3 linked regions of the Mus musculus genome follow. The protein of the gene in region 1 purifies or fractionates together with the protein of each later gene. This does not show direct contact. Links are inferred from orthologs where the notes say so. Each region holds a gene or a part of one and is shown in the gene's direction. Other genes may lie near its edges. The genes, in order: Snai1, Fbxo11 and Usp3.

Evidence for each region.
Region 2: the proteins of Snai1 (region 1) and Fbxo11 purify together in Homo sapiens (affinity purification with western blotting; 3 studies listed by BioGRID and IntAct, with this or other methods). This does not show direct contact. The link is inferred for Mus musculus from reciprocal best matches to the Homo sapiens genes SNAI1 and FBXO11.
Region 3: the proteins of Snai1 (region 1) and Usp3 purify together in Homo sapiens (affinity purification with western blotting; 3 studies listed by BioGRID). This does not show direct contact. The link is inferred for Mus musculus from reciprocal best matches to the Homo sapiens genes SNAI1 and USP3.

What each region holds. Positions count from the first base shown.
Region 1 is NC_000068.7:167,537,283-167,541,024, forward strand, and holds the start of Snai1 (zinc finger protein SNAI1), read left to right. Parts: upstream 1-912; 5' UTR 913-1,007; coding exon 1,008-1,089; intron 1,090-1,388; coding exon 1,389-1,916; intron 1,917-3,742. UniProt on the Homo sapiens protein: Involved in induction of the epithelial to mesenchymal transition (EMT), formation and maintenance of embryonic mesoderm, growth arrest, survival and cell migration.
Region 2 is NC_000083.6:88,063,852-88,067,593, reverse strand, and holds the start of Fbxo11 (F-box only protein 11), read left to right. Parts: upstream 1-1,548; 5' UTR 1,549-2,341; coding exon 2,342-2,585; intron 2,586-2,661; exon of another isoform or gene 2,662-2,959; intron 2,960-3,052; exon of another isoform or gene 3,053-3,499; intron 3,500-3,742. UniProt on the Homo sapiens protein: Substrate recognition component of a SCF (SKP1-CUL1-F-box protein) E3 ubiquitin-protein ligase complex which mediates the ubiquitination and subsequent proteasomal degradation of target proteins, such as DTL/CDT2, BCL6, SNAI1 and PRDM1/BLIMP1.
Region 3 is NC_000075.6:66,590,666-66,594,407, reverse strand, and holds the start of Usp3 (ubiquitin carboxyl-terminal hydrolase 3), read left to right. Parts: upstream 1-1,292; 5' UTR 1,293-1,533; coding exon 1,534-1,624; intron 1,625-1,626; exon of another isoform or gene 1,627-1,895; coding exon of another isoform or gene 1,896-2,244; intron 2,245-3,742. UniProt on the Homo sapiens protein: Deubiquitinase that plays a role in several cellular processes including transcriptional regulation, cell cycle progression or innate immunity.

The sequences.
Region 1 (3,742 bases):
ACTATGGGGGTGTGGGTTTGGTTTCCGAGGCCACCCTTCCTCCCTGTGAACGTTCCAACACGATTTTCAGGAAGTCGGGAGCCTTAGCCCTGGTCCTTGCTACCTCTGCCTCGCACCTGCCCTTATTGGTGTTTCACAATGCAACTCTAAACACGTCCGTCCTCAGCTGAAAGTCCTTCCGTGACTCCCCAGTGCCTGTAAGGCAAAGTCCAAACTCCTCCAAAGACCCGAGGCCAGGAAATCGGACCCCTCAGGGTCTGCCCAACACCAACCTCATCCTGGAACCTGCTCTCAAAGGTTGGACAGGCAGAAGTTACTGATTCTTACCCCGGGCCTTTCCCCTCGGTGCTTCTTCACTTCCTCTAGGAAGTCATAGACACCCTCCCCTGTCAGGTGACCGTTCATTGACAGTCACAGCTGTCTCTCCCCACCTCCTTTCATCAAATCACACCTCCCTTTAGTATTCGAATCCTCTGTTTATTCTGTCTGTCTCTCTCTCCCACGGCCGGGAAGCCATCCTTGCGTAGGGCATCCCTGGGTAGTGTTTTGTTCAGGGCTGTGTAGACAGTTCCAGGAACCCCTAAGCGCGTGCATATCATCGCACTTTCTGGCTCCCCAGCGCCCAAAGGTCAGCAGCTCGGGGATGTTGCGGGGCACCGCGCTCGTCGTGGGGCAGGCGCGGCCACCAGGGGTCGCCCGAGGAGCTCGGAAGCCGCGCGGTCCGGTCCGGGAGGAGCCCAAGCGGAATCTCAGCGCCACGCGGCGGGAGCCCCAGCAGCCCAGGCGCACCTGCTCCGGTCTCAGTCTCCGGCCGCGCCGCCGCCAGCCATTGGCTCAGCCTTGACAAAGGGGCGTGACCAACAGTACGGTCACGCCCCCAGCCCTGGTACTTAAAGGAATTTGCTGCTGCTAGGGGATCGTAGTGTGCGGCCGGGCCTCGCGAGCGGAGTTGACTACCGACCTTGCGCGACCCGGTGACCCCGACTACCTAGGTCGCTCTGGCCAACATGCCGCGCTCCTTCCTGGTCAGGAAGCCGTCCGACCCCCGCCGGAAGCCCAACTATAGCGAGCTGCAGGACGCGTGTGTGGGTGCGTGGTGGGGTGCGGGACGCGGGCGGCTGGGGGGGATCCCAAGGGTGCTGGGGGGAGGTGAGAATCGGGCTCTGCGGGCGCGACAGGTGGATCTGGAGCTCCGGGTCTTGGCAGTTGGGATCCACCGAGGGTGTCTTTGACCCGGGACGGGGAGGCTCCGGGAGTTGAAGACTCGAAGGCGGGGGTAGCTTTGCGGAGTCCGGGCGGGGGAGGGGAGGGGCGGGCGGGAAGCCCCCCCACCTGGCGCCCCGAGAATCCGCTCAGCTGACTCCCTGCTGTCTCTTCTCTTCCCGCAGAGTTCACCTTCCAGCAGCCCTACGACCAGGCCCACCTGCTGGCCGCCATCCCTCCGCCCGAGGTCCTCAACCCCGCCGCTTCGCTGCCCACCCTCATCTGGGACTCTCTCCTGGTACCCCAAGTGCGGCCGGTTGCCTGGGCCACCCTCCCGCTGCGGGAGAGCCCCAAGGCCGTAGAGCTGACCTCGCTGTCCGATGAGGACAGTGGCAAAAGCTCCCAGCCGCCCAGCCCGCCCTCGCCGGCGCCGTCGTCCTTCTCGTCCACCTCGGCCTCCTCCCTGGAGGCCGAGGCCTTCATCGCCTTCCCTGGCTTGGGCCAACTTCCCAAGCAGCTGGCCAGGCTCTCGGTGGCCAAGGACCCCCAGTCGCGGAAGATCTTCAACTGCAAATATTGTAACAAGGAGTACCTCAGCCTGGGCGCTCTGAAGATGCACATCCGAAGCCACACGCTGCCTTGTGTCTGCACGACCTGTGGAAAGGCCTTCTCTAGGCCCTGGCTGCTTCAGGGCCACGTCCGCACCCACACTGGTGAGTGAGTGTGCATAGCTGAGCTCTGAGTCTGGGCTGTTTGGCCTTAGACCCTGGGGGGACTCAACACTTACTCCTAAGGCTGCCAAGCAGTGGACAAAGTAGATGTTGGTTGTTCTCCATTCTGTACCTTGCTGTTCGAGGCTAGGAGTGAAGAGGTGTTCCCTATCCGGGCTCAACCCACACTGTAGAAGTCAGACAGGATATTGCTAGACAGGATATTCTGCACCTGGCCTTGAATCCTGAGTCGAGAACTTCCCCAGTTTCCTCGTTTCTAAAATGTATCAGAGAACACTTCGTGGGGTCTTTGTAGAGTGAAGTGCTAGGTGCAGGTGCCACTAAGAAATGACTTCCCAGTGACTATGAAGACGGCTCAGTGGTTAGAGCACTGGCTACTCTTCCAGAGGTCCTGAGTTCAATTCCCAGCACACATGGTAGTTCACAACTTAACTAACTGCCTGTTAAGAGTCCAGTTCCAGAGGACCTGACACCCTCATACAGACATACATGCAGGCAACATACCAATCCATGTAGGACAAGAATAGAATAGACACATCTTTTTTTTTTTTTTTTTTTTTTTTTTTTAAGAAGAGAAACAAAGACATGACTTTGCTGTCCTCTCAGCCTTGGGCCACGTGGGAAGCTTCTAGAAGTGAGGGAAGGCTTCAGCCAGGCTTGGTGGGGGTTCCGGTTGGGCTGCTCTTTGGAAAGTGTGTCAGGCTTTGGGGTAGAGCTGTGCGTCTCTTGTGGTGGCCAGCATTGGGGCAGTGAGGCCTGGGGGTGGCAGGGAGGTATTTGCAGGTCTCACTGACACCTTTATTACTTGAATAAGATTACCCGTTTCCCCCCCCCAGGCACGGATTGCCTCAGATTTAACCTATAAAAGTGTAACAGGCTGCCTCTCTCCGGCTGGGTTGCTAAGCTGTGGGGCTCTACTTTGGGGAAGAGCTGAAGCCCTCAGGGTCCTAGGCTGCCTCCGACCACCCCCCACCCCCCAGGGACTTTGTTTTGATGTAAAGGCATGGCTCAGACAAAACCCTCCTTGAAATGCACCACCCAGTTCTCTAGGAGTTCCATTGTGTGTCTTAATGGTAGCCCAGGGGGTGGGGGCCTGCAGGGTTAGAGCAGGTGCACGGGGCAGCGGTGCCCAGCACCTGTTCTTGGCCGCAGCTGCTGGCTCATTGCACGGCAGGCCCCTTTAATCCAGGGGGTATCACATGTACAGTGTCCCCCTTAGTGGCCTTTGTCCCAGCCGGCCTGGTGCCGATTTCACACTTGCCAGGAACACTATGAAGGCGTCTGGGGGTCGGGGATCTGTGAAGAGAGAGAGAGTGTGTGTGTGTGTGGGGGGGGGGGTGTCTACACTTCCTGTGCAAGCCCAGAGACTCCCAGCTCCATCCCACCCTGTGTTATCTTGAAACCTCCCTTTTGTTAAGTACTTCAGTTCGCCTGTCCCTGCTAAACGGACAGGTAGTGGTTAGGCCATTCTAGGGAGGGGGCAACACCCCTTACTTGTAGGGACCCACAGATTGCCAAGGTCCACCACCACCCAGGGCTTTGGAGCCCCACCTGTGTAGCTGAAGACTTGTGTGGGTTTGTGCCCCCTAGGGGGGCTGAAAGCGGCTCTGTTCAGTGAATACCTGCTGAGTGGGTGGATCCCGCAGGATCCCTGCTGAGATTTCCTCTATCCAGAGGCTCAGCACACCCAGGCGCCATTCCTCAGCCCCGAATTCCATCACTAGAATCCAACCAAAGGGCACCGCCTGTGGACTAGCAGGCTGGGAGGGACGGGAGGCTTGCCTTGTTTTGAAAATCCGTTTGGCATT
Region 2 (3,742 bases), on another chromosome or scaffold:
CTCAAGATATTTTTCAAATAGCTGTCTTCACATACAGGTTTTGAAAAGATTGTGAGTCTTTGAAAATCACATGACCAAAAAAGAAAAAAAAAAACCCAGCAATTGTACATCATATGATAGGTTATTATTTAAATGGCAGGAGATGTCTGACATCTAGAAGGGTGATTTGCCAACAGTGGTGGCGAATGCCTTTAATCCCAGCACGTGGGAGGCAGAGGCAGGCGGATTTCTGAGTTAGAGGCCAGCCTGATCTACAGAATGAGTTCCAGGACAGCCAGGACTACACAGAGAAATTCTGTCTCAAAAAACCAAGAAAGAAAAAAGAAAAAAAAAAAGAAAAAGAAAAAAAGAAAAAAAGAAAAAAATCTGTAATTTACACATAGCACAATACCGTAGACTTACCTCTCCTGTGCGTCCCTTAGAATTCACTTTTCTCCCTCCCTTTCTGAAGCTTTGTAATGTTTTATCTATCTTAAGCCTAGAAAGCAATCAATGAAATTCAAGTAGAAAATCACTGACAGCTCCGAAATGAGGGAATCCAGAGATAAACCACTAGCTATGCAATAAGGAATAGTGAGCGGAGTACATTTTCAGTCTTCATAACGGCGGCCAGGGAATAGAAACACATTTTCCTTGGGGAGAGATTGTGCTAAGGGGACCAGACACAGATACAAAAGATTATTCCTCTCGGGGGTTTATCTTTCTTGACTTCGTGGGACCTAAAACAAAACCAATATAATCCATCACAACCTCCACCCGTTTTATTTTACTTCTTCCGGAACACCATGTAGACCACTTGCCCCCCCCCCCCCCCCAAAAAAAAAGCCTAAAGCAAACTAACTTGGTTAAAGATCTAAAACATTCTGAAAGTTTGGGCGACAAAAGCTGGAACCGACTCCAGACTCTCTCTTAAGTTCTCAGCAGAGCCGAAACAAGATTTCTTAAGGTTTGCAAATAAATCCCTTCAGCTGGACTAAAAACGCACAGAGCCTGGAGCGCTCCCTACAGCTGAGAGCTTGAACCTACCGAGCCCAGAAATCCGGAGTTACCCAAGACGGAGTCCCTCACTCCTTGTGGCGTTTAAGAGAACCAGGTGAAGGTTGGGGTGGAGGGAGGCTGAACCGGCAAAAGGCAGGATTAATCACTTCTCCCAATTGCATCAGCAGCCCCCGCCCTTCCTTCAGAGCACCTCCTATCCTAGAACCTTCGCTACGTACTGCCGCTCCTTCGCCCACCCCCGGCTCCATTATATGCCCTGATACCTCCCCATTATCACCCGCCCTGCCACACTCCCCCCTTTCCTCTTTCCTCCTCCTCCTCCTCCGTCGGGGAAGGAGGAAACCCGAGAGAGGAAACAGGGTGTTGGAGGAAGGGGGCTCCGCGATAAGAGAGGAGGCTCCATTGGCTCCGACACCGTACGGGCGCTTCCCATTGGTCAGGCCCCGCCGGAATCCACGCCCCCTCTGTCCCCGCCCCCGCCCCTCCCCCGCCGGCTCGCGGCCCTCCCCCCGCGCCCCCCGGCCAGCCCCGCGGCGGGGAGGGACCGACAGGGCTTGAGCGGAGAGGCTCCGGCGGTGTCAATGGCTCCTCCTGCCACGGAGCAGCAGCAGCAGCAGCAGCGGCAGCAGCAGCAGCGGCAGCGGCGGCGGCGGCGCTGGGGCTGAGGAGGGAAGGTTCCTTTAAGGAGGAGGAACGACGACGCCTCTTTTGCCCCTATCTCCTCCCTTTTACACTCATTTCCCCTTCGCCGAGGGTGGGGGTGGGGGGGGCGGAGGAGAGAGAAGAGGCCGAAGAAAGAGAAAATTCCTCGCAGGGCGCTCTTTCAGGGGGTGTGGGGGGAGGACGAGGAACGGAGGAGCCGGGCGCCCCCCGCGCGCTCCCGCCCCGCTCGGCTCGCCCTCTCCGAGATCGCCCGTCCGCCCACTCCCCCCGCCGCCGCCGCTGCCGGAGACGCCGCTCGGGAGTCGGCGGGCCCGGCTCGTCTGCTCGGCCGCCGCCGCGCTTCGCCTCGGGCTCCCCAGGCGGACGGACGCCCTTTCTTTCTTTCTCTTGCCCGGCCCGTCTCTCTGTCTGCGTCCCTCGCGGCCGCCCCGCCCGGCGGCCTCGGCCTTGCCCGTGCGCCAGGCCCGGCCGGCGGGCCTCGCTCAAGCTCCGGTGGTGCCCCCAGCCTCCCCGCGGAGCCGGGGGAAGCTCACGCCCGGTGGCCCCCCGGTCCCCGCGTCCCCGGCCGCCCCGCTCCTTCCCGCTCCCCACCCCCTTCCTCCCCGGCCCCGGAGCTCGCGGTGCGTGTGCGCGTGAGTGTGTGTGTCCCTCCGCCAACGCCGCCACCTCAGCCCGGCAAATGAACTCCGTCCGAGCCGCCAACCGGAGACCCAGGCGAGTGTCGCGGCCGCGCCCGGTGCAACAGCAGCAGCAGCAGCCCCCGCAGCAGCCGCCGCCGCAGCCGCCTCAGCAACAGCCGCCGCCGCAGCCGCCCCAGCAGCCGCCGCAGCAGCAGCCCCCGCCGCCGCCGCAGCAGCAGCCCCCGCCGCCGCCCCCGCCGCCTCCGCCGCCGCCTCAGGATCGGAACAACGCCGGCGAGAGGGGTAAGGCCGCGCTCGGGGCCTGGCTGGGCGGGCGGGAGGCCGGGCGGGGGCGGCGGCGGCGGCGGCGGCGCGCCCGGGGTGGGAGACGGAGGCCGAGCGGAGGCGGGTCCCACCGTGCCGCAGTGTTCGCCTGGGCCCGGCCCGGCCGGGCCTGGCCGGCAGGAAAAGCCGCGGCTGCGCGATCCGCCCGGGCTGCGGCTCAGGCCGCGCTTTGTTTGGTTTCGGGGCTGGCACCCTCCGTCCCCACCCCTCCTTGGGGCTTCCCGGCTGGCTCGCCCACCCCACGGGAGTCTGTTCGCGGCCGGGGGCGGGCAGGAGGGTGGGATTTCCCCCCTTTCTGCGCCTGGCTCGATCTGGGCTCCCCCTTTCTCGTGGTAGGTGGGGGGACGGCTGGCTGCGTGGGGCGGTGAGGCTGGCCGGGGAACTTGTTTTCCCCTTCTCTGTGGGCTCCCCCTTGCCCTGGAGGAGGGGGAGAGGAGCGCCGGAGTGGTCCGCCGCGCTGGCTGGGGAACTTGCGTGCCCCCTTCCAGGTCGCAGGGCAGGGGGAGCCTCGGCCCCTCTCTCGACCACAACATCTTTGCTGCACAGTTTGCCTTTAGTTACAGAACCCCGGGGAAGAACCCGTTAAATCAATACCTTTAAATAAATAAATATAGAAGCTATCGGCCATTTCCAGCCCCCTCCCTCGTGTGCAGTGCAGTTACCCTTCCGCTGTGTCGTCCCCCTTTCCTCTCCAACCCACTACGCCACGGTGCTCCCCTCGGTCTCCGGGTGGGTTTGAGCACCCTCGCCGTAGAACGGGCCCCTTGGGATCGTGTGTGTAGCTGTATGTAGACGAGCGCGCGCCCGCGCGCGTGTTGTGACCAAGGCCTAGTGAAATGTGTCATTTGGACCCAACTGTGCTGCGCTGTCTGGTAACCACCATTGTCTAAGGGCTGAGGCTCCCTGGGGTTGGATTCTTGCTTTAGCAAAAATAATGTTCGGTTTTGCTTGAATGATGTGGTTACGTGGAGAGAGGTTTGTGAGATGAGAGTGTTGCACCTTGATCTCCAAACATAACTAGTCTCTTTATTAATGAGCTGCTTGCAGCGGGGTGTAAGTCAGCACGGTATTTTGTGTATGGTTGTTTTAAAGAGGAGAATTGTTAGGAGACATTT
Region 3 (3,742 bases), on another chromosome or scaffold:
GGAATCTGAAATACCACCCTGGGCAGAGATGTCCTAGGTGGGTGGACACTATCAGGCAGAAGGCTACAGGGTGCAGTAGTGGGGTGTACGGAAGTGGCTTAAGGGGTGCTAGAGGCGTGCACTTCAGGGAGGTGCCCAGTGCTAACTAACCACTATCCGGCCCAGCCAGTTAATCATTTCCTGACCTTTCCTTTCCTGCCCCATGGATTGGCACATTGTTCTTCCCTCTCCACTTGCTTGTCAGGGGATGAAGGAAAGAAGCCCCTTTACCAGGTTAAACACCACCAACCAAACAAAGAAAGAAAGCCCAACTTTGGAGGCTAGATTTGTGGGAGCCCCAGATATCCTCAAGGCAGAGAATGTGAGGTGGCAGGCTCTCTACCTCTAGACGCTCCTCCTGTCTTCTTCACTTCTTTCTAGAGAGAGATTTGAAGCGGGGGGGGGGGGGGTGCGGGGGTCCAATCTTCCTAAAGCAAATTATACTCTTGGTTTCACTTTTTGTTAAAAAGGGGACCGTAGCAGCAGCTTGAGAGGGTGTTTTGAGGATTAAATGAGGTGTGGTATGCAAAGTGCCTGGCTGGGAGCCAGGTGGGCTTCTAACAAATGTTACACTGCCTCTTTTTATTACCTAGCACCCGCGACCTTGTACAGCAAACTGGATTATTTCGTTCAACTTCAAGAGGTATAGGTATGAAAATACCCACAATGGGCAGGAGATATCAGTGAGTCATAACGGCATGGCGTGGACCCCGAACACAGGCGTTCCGGTGGGCCCAGCCGTGCAGTATCCCGGTGACACACTCAGGCCAGAGTTCAGAACTCAGAACAGTTCCGGACCCCGCCTGCTACCGGGAGAACACGAAAGTCAGGACTGTTCTGGGCTCTTTGCAGCCGGCTGGGCCATCGAGGGCCACGCCCCAAAAGTCTGTTTCTTCCTGTGTAAAATGGGGCTTCAATGCACGTCGGTGTGAGTGGTTTTCATTTTCCGTACTCTTTGCGGTGTGGTCACATATTCTACCTCGCTGTTGTAGCCAACTCACTGCAGTAGAAGCAGCGGTCCCGACCGCTCTGCCCCGGATGAGTACCCACACTTGTCGGGTTCCCAAGAATCGGCTGCAGCGGCCGGGGGCAGATTTCGGAAAGTCACTTCACATCCCCGTAGGACTTTACACTAGCTGCTAGCACTGGGTGAGCACCAATGCCCCGCCCACTGACTAGTGTGGGGGCGGGGCCCGGGCTGGCCTGGGGGCGTAACCAGCAGGGTGGGCGGGGCCGCCGGAGAAGGCGGAAGCCTACTGTCCCTGGGCGGCGGCAGAACCAGGAGTCCGGATTTTCACGTTCTCCGGAGCGGGGCGCCGGGAGACGGCGGATGGCAAAACCCGGCGCCCGGAAGCCCTTGCTTTCTTTGACGCAAAGGCTCGGGACCCAGAAGCCGCCGTCTGCCCAGTGCCGGGTCAGAAGCGACCCCAGACGGAGCCTCTGAAGTCCCTCCGCCCCAGAGCCTCGGCTGTCCCCGCCGCCGTCCTCGTGGCCATGGAGTGTCCGCACCTCAGCTCCAGCGTCTGCATCGCCCCGGACTCAGCCAAGTTCCCCAACGGCTCCCCGTCGTCCTGGTGCTGCAGCGGTGAGTGCGGCTCTGGGGCTGGCCGGCCGCGCACCCGAGGTCCCGGCTCTGGCCCGGGCCTTGCCGTCGAAGGGCCGCGGGTGCGGGGCAGCGCGCGGCCTCGTTGGGGGGGGGGGGAGGCTGAGGGGAGCAAGCGGGCCCGGCGCGCGGGGCGAGGGGACGCGGCGCGGCGCGGCGGGCGCGGTGGCGGCTCCTTTGTTTCGCGCGGCCCGACGGCCGGGCCGGCTGAGGAGAGGCCCGCGGGGGCCTGAGGCGAGCGCGCAGCGGCGGGATGACGCGGCGGCTCGCACCCCAAGGCTCCGCGAACCTAAGGGCCGGCTCCGCGCGCGGCCGCACGTGTGGCGGGGTCGGGCTCGCGGTCCCCCGTGGGCCGGACAGGCAAAGCGCCGCTCTGCGGGCGCAGCTTTGTCTGGACTGCCGGCGCGCGAGCCCCTTTGGGTTGCGTTTCCTCGGGTTCCCACAGGCTCCTGCCTCCCCCGCAGCCCCTGAGCGGACTGCGCTGGGGGCTGCTCACCTCGGAGTCTCTCTTCAGCCTGTGAGGGTGAAGTTTGAAAACAGGCTGCGGGCTCCGAAAGCTCCGGAGAAGGCAGCCAACAGCTGCTTTGGAGGGGCGGCTCGAGGTTGGGTGTTTTGGGTTTTTTTGTTTTTTTTTGTTTTGCCTTTCGAAGATTGTTCCGAGGCAGTTTTTCGGGTTGGCAGGGATTTCGTTGGGAATTCCCGAGTGCGTGTAAGACACTTCGTAGGTTTATGTTATGCCTTCGAGTTGCTTAAGCGTTAACTCCTTCTGCTTCCTTGGAAGCCCCGGTGCCCTCTCATTGTCTGCCGGGACTTAAGGTCGGACGGGCCACCCGGCTTTGATTACTTCCTGGTAGGGCCCTGGTGCCGACGCTGGTCTTTGTTTATGAGCTTTAAGATTATCACTGGCAGCTTGGGCTGTAGTGTAAAATGTGAATCGTGTGCATCAGAAATCAAGTTCATCTGCAAGGCTGAAAAGACGGTGGGACGATTCAGCAGAGTGGTCTTTCAGCCTGGGTTGGATTGGAGCTAGGAAGGTAGTTTAGGGACTGCTTTAATACTTTTGACGTACTACTTCTTCAAAGGGGATTATATTCTTGAAGCAAAATATACGGGGTAACACAAGGAAAACTGTCCTCCAGGATAAGGAATAGAAATAACTGCAGTTTTCTGGAGCTCCAAGACTTGGTGTCTTGCTTACCTTTGTAAAGTCAGGTGTCTTTCTTCTGTTCTGCATGAAGCCTTTAAAGATTAATAAGTTAATTGGTTTCACAGGACAGTATTGCAGTTCCTTTGGTTTGTGAGACTGGGTTTCTATGATAGCCCAGGGTGACCTAGAATTTATAATTTTCCTCTCTCAGCCCTTGGAGTGCTGGGATTATAGGCATGTGCTACCCCTTCTGGGCCAGTATTGCAGTTCTTTGTGGGAGTGCAGAACTTGTGTGAATGGGTCTTACCTGTAAATACATCTTCAACAGTGAGTCTTGAGCTTGGAACATAACACTACCAACAACAGGCCAGTCCATGTGGTCTGTTAGTTCATTAGCTGTAGCTGTGGGGCTATAGTTGAATTTTCTCAAGAGAGATTTGTCACACACACACACACACACACACACACCCTCTCACTAGGAAAAGCTTACACCTCACAAGGAATGGGGCACTTCTTGTTCATCTGTAGTCAACTACAGGGATTCCGAGATGGGTGTATCAATACAAGCCTAATTTTTTTTCTATGTAAAATTATATCAAACTTAGAAATGGCTTCACTGTGCACATGCATCTAAAAAAATTATGCAAGTGGCAGGTATCCTGTTGTGAGTCAGTCTTGCCTCCATCAGTTAGGGAGTCCACTTTGGGGAAAAGAGACAGCAAATGAAGCCCCTCTTGAGGAATTCAGCACATTAAAATGGAGCATAACTGGGAGACTTGTGCTGAAAACAAGAACAAATTAGTAATGGAAGGGTGATTTCTTTACAACGTGCAGTAAATGGTTGCCTCTGACCCTGTTTTGGAAGGATGGGTCTAATCACTTGCATTTATAGTACTAATAAAGCTAGTTTCACAACTCAGTGGGTGTTTTTTTTTTTTTTTTTCTATCTCAGG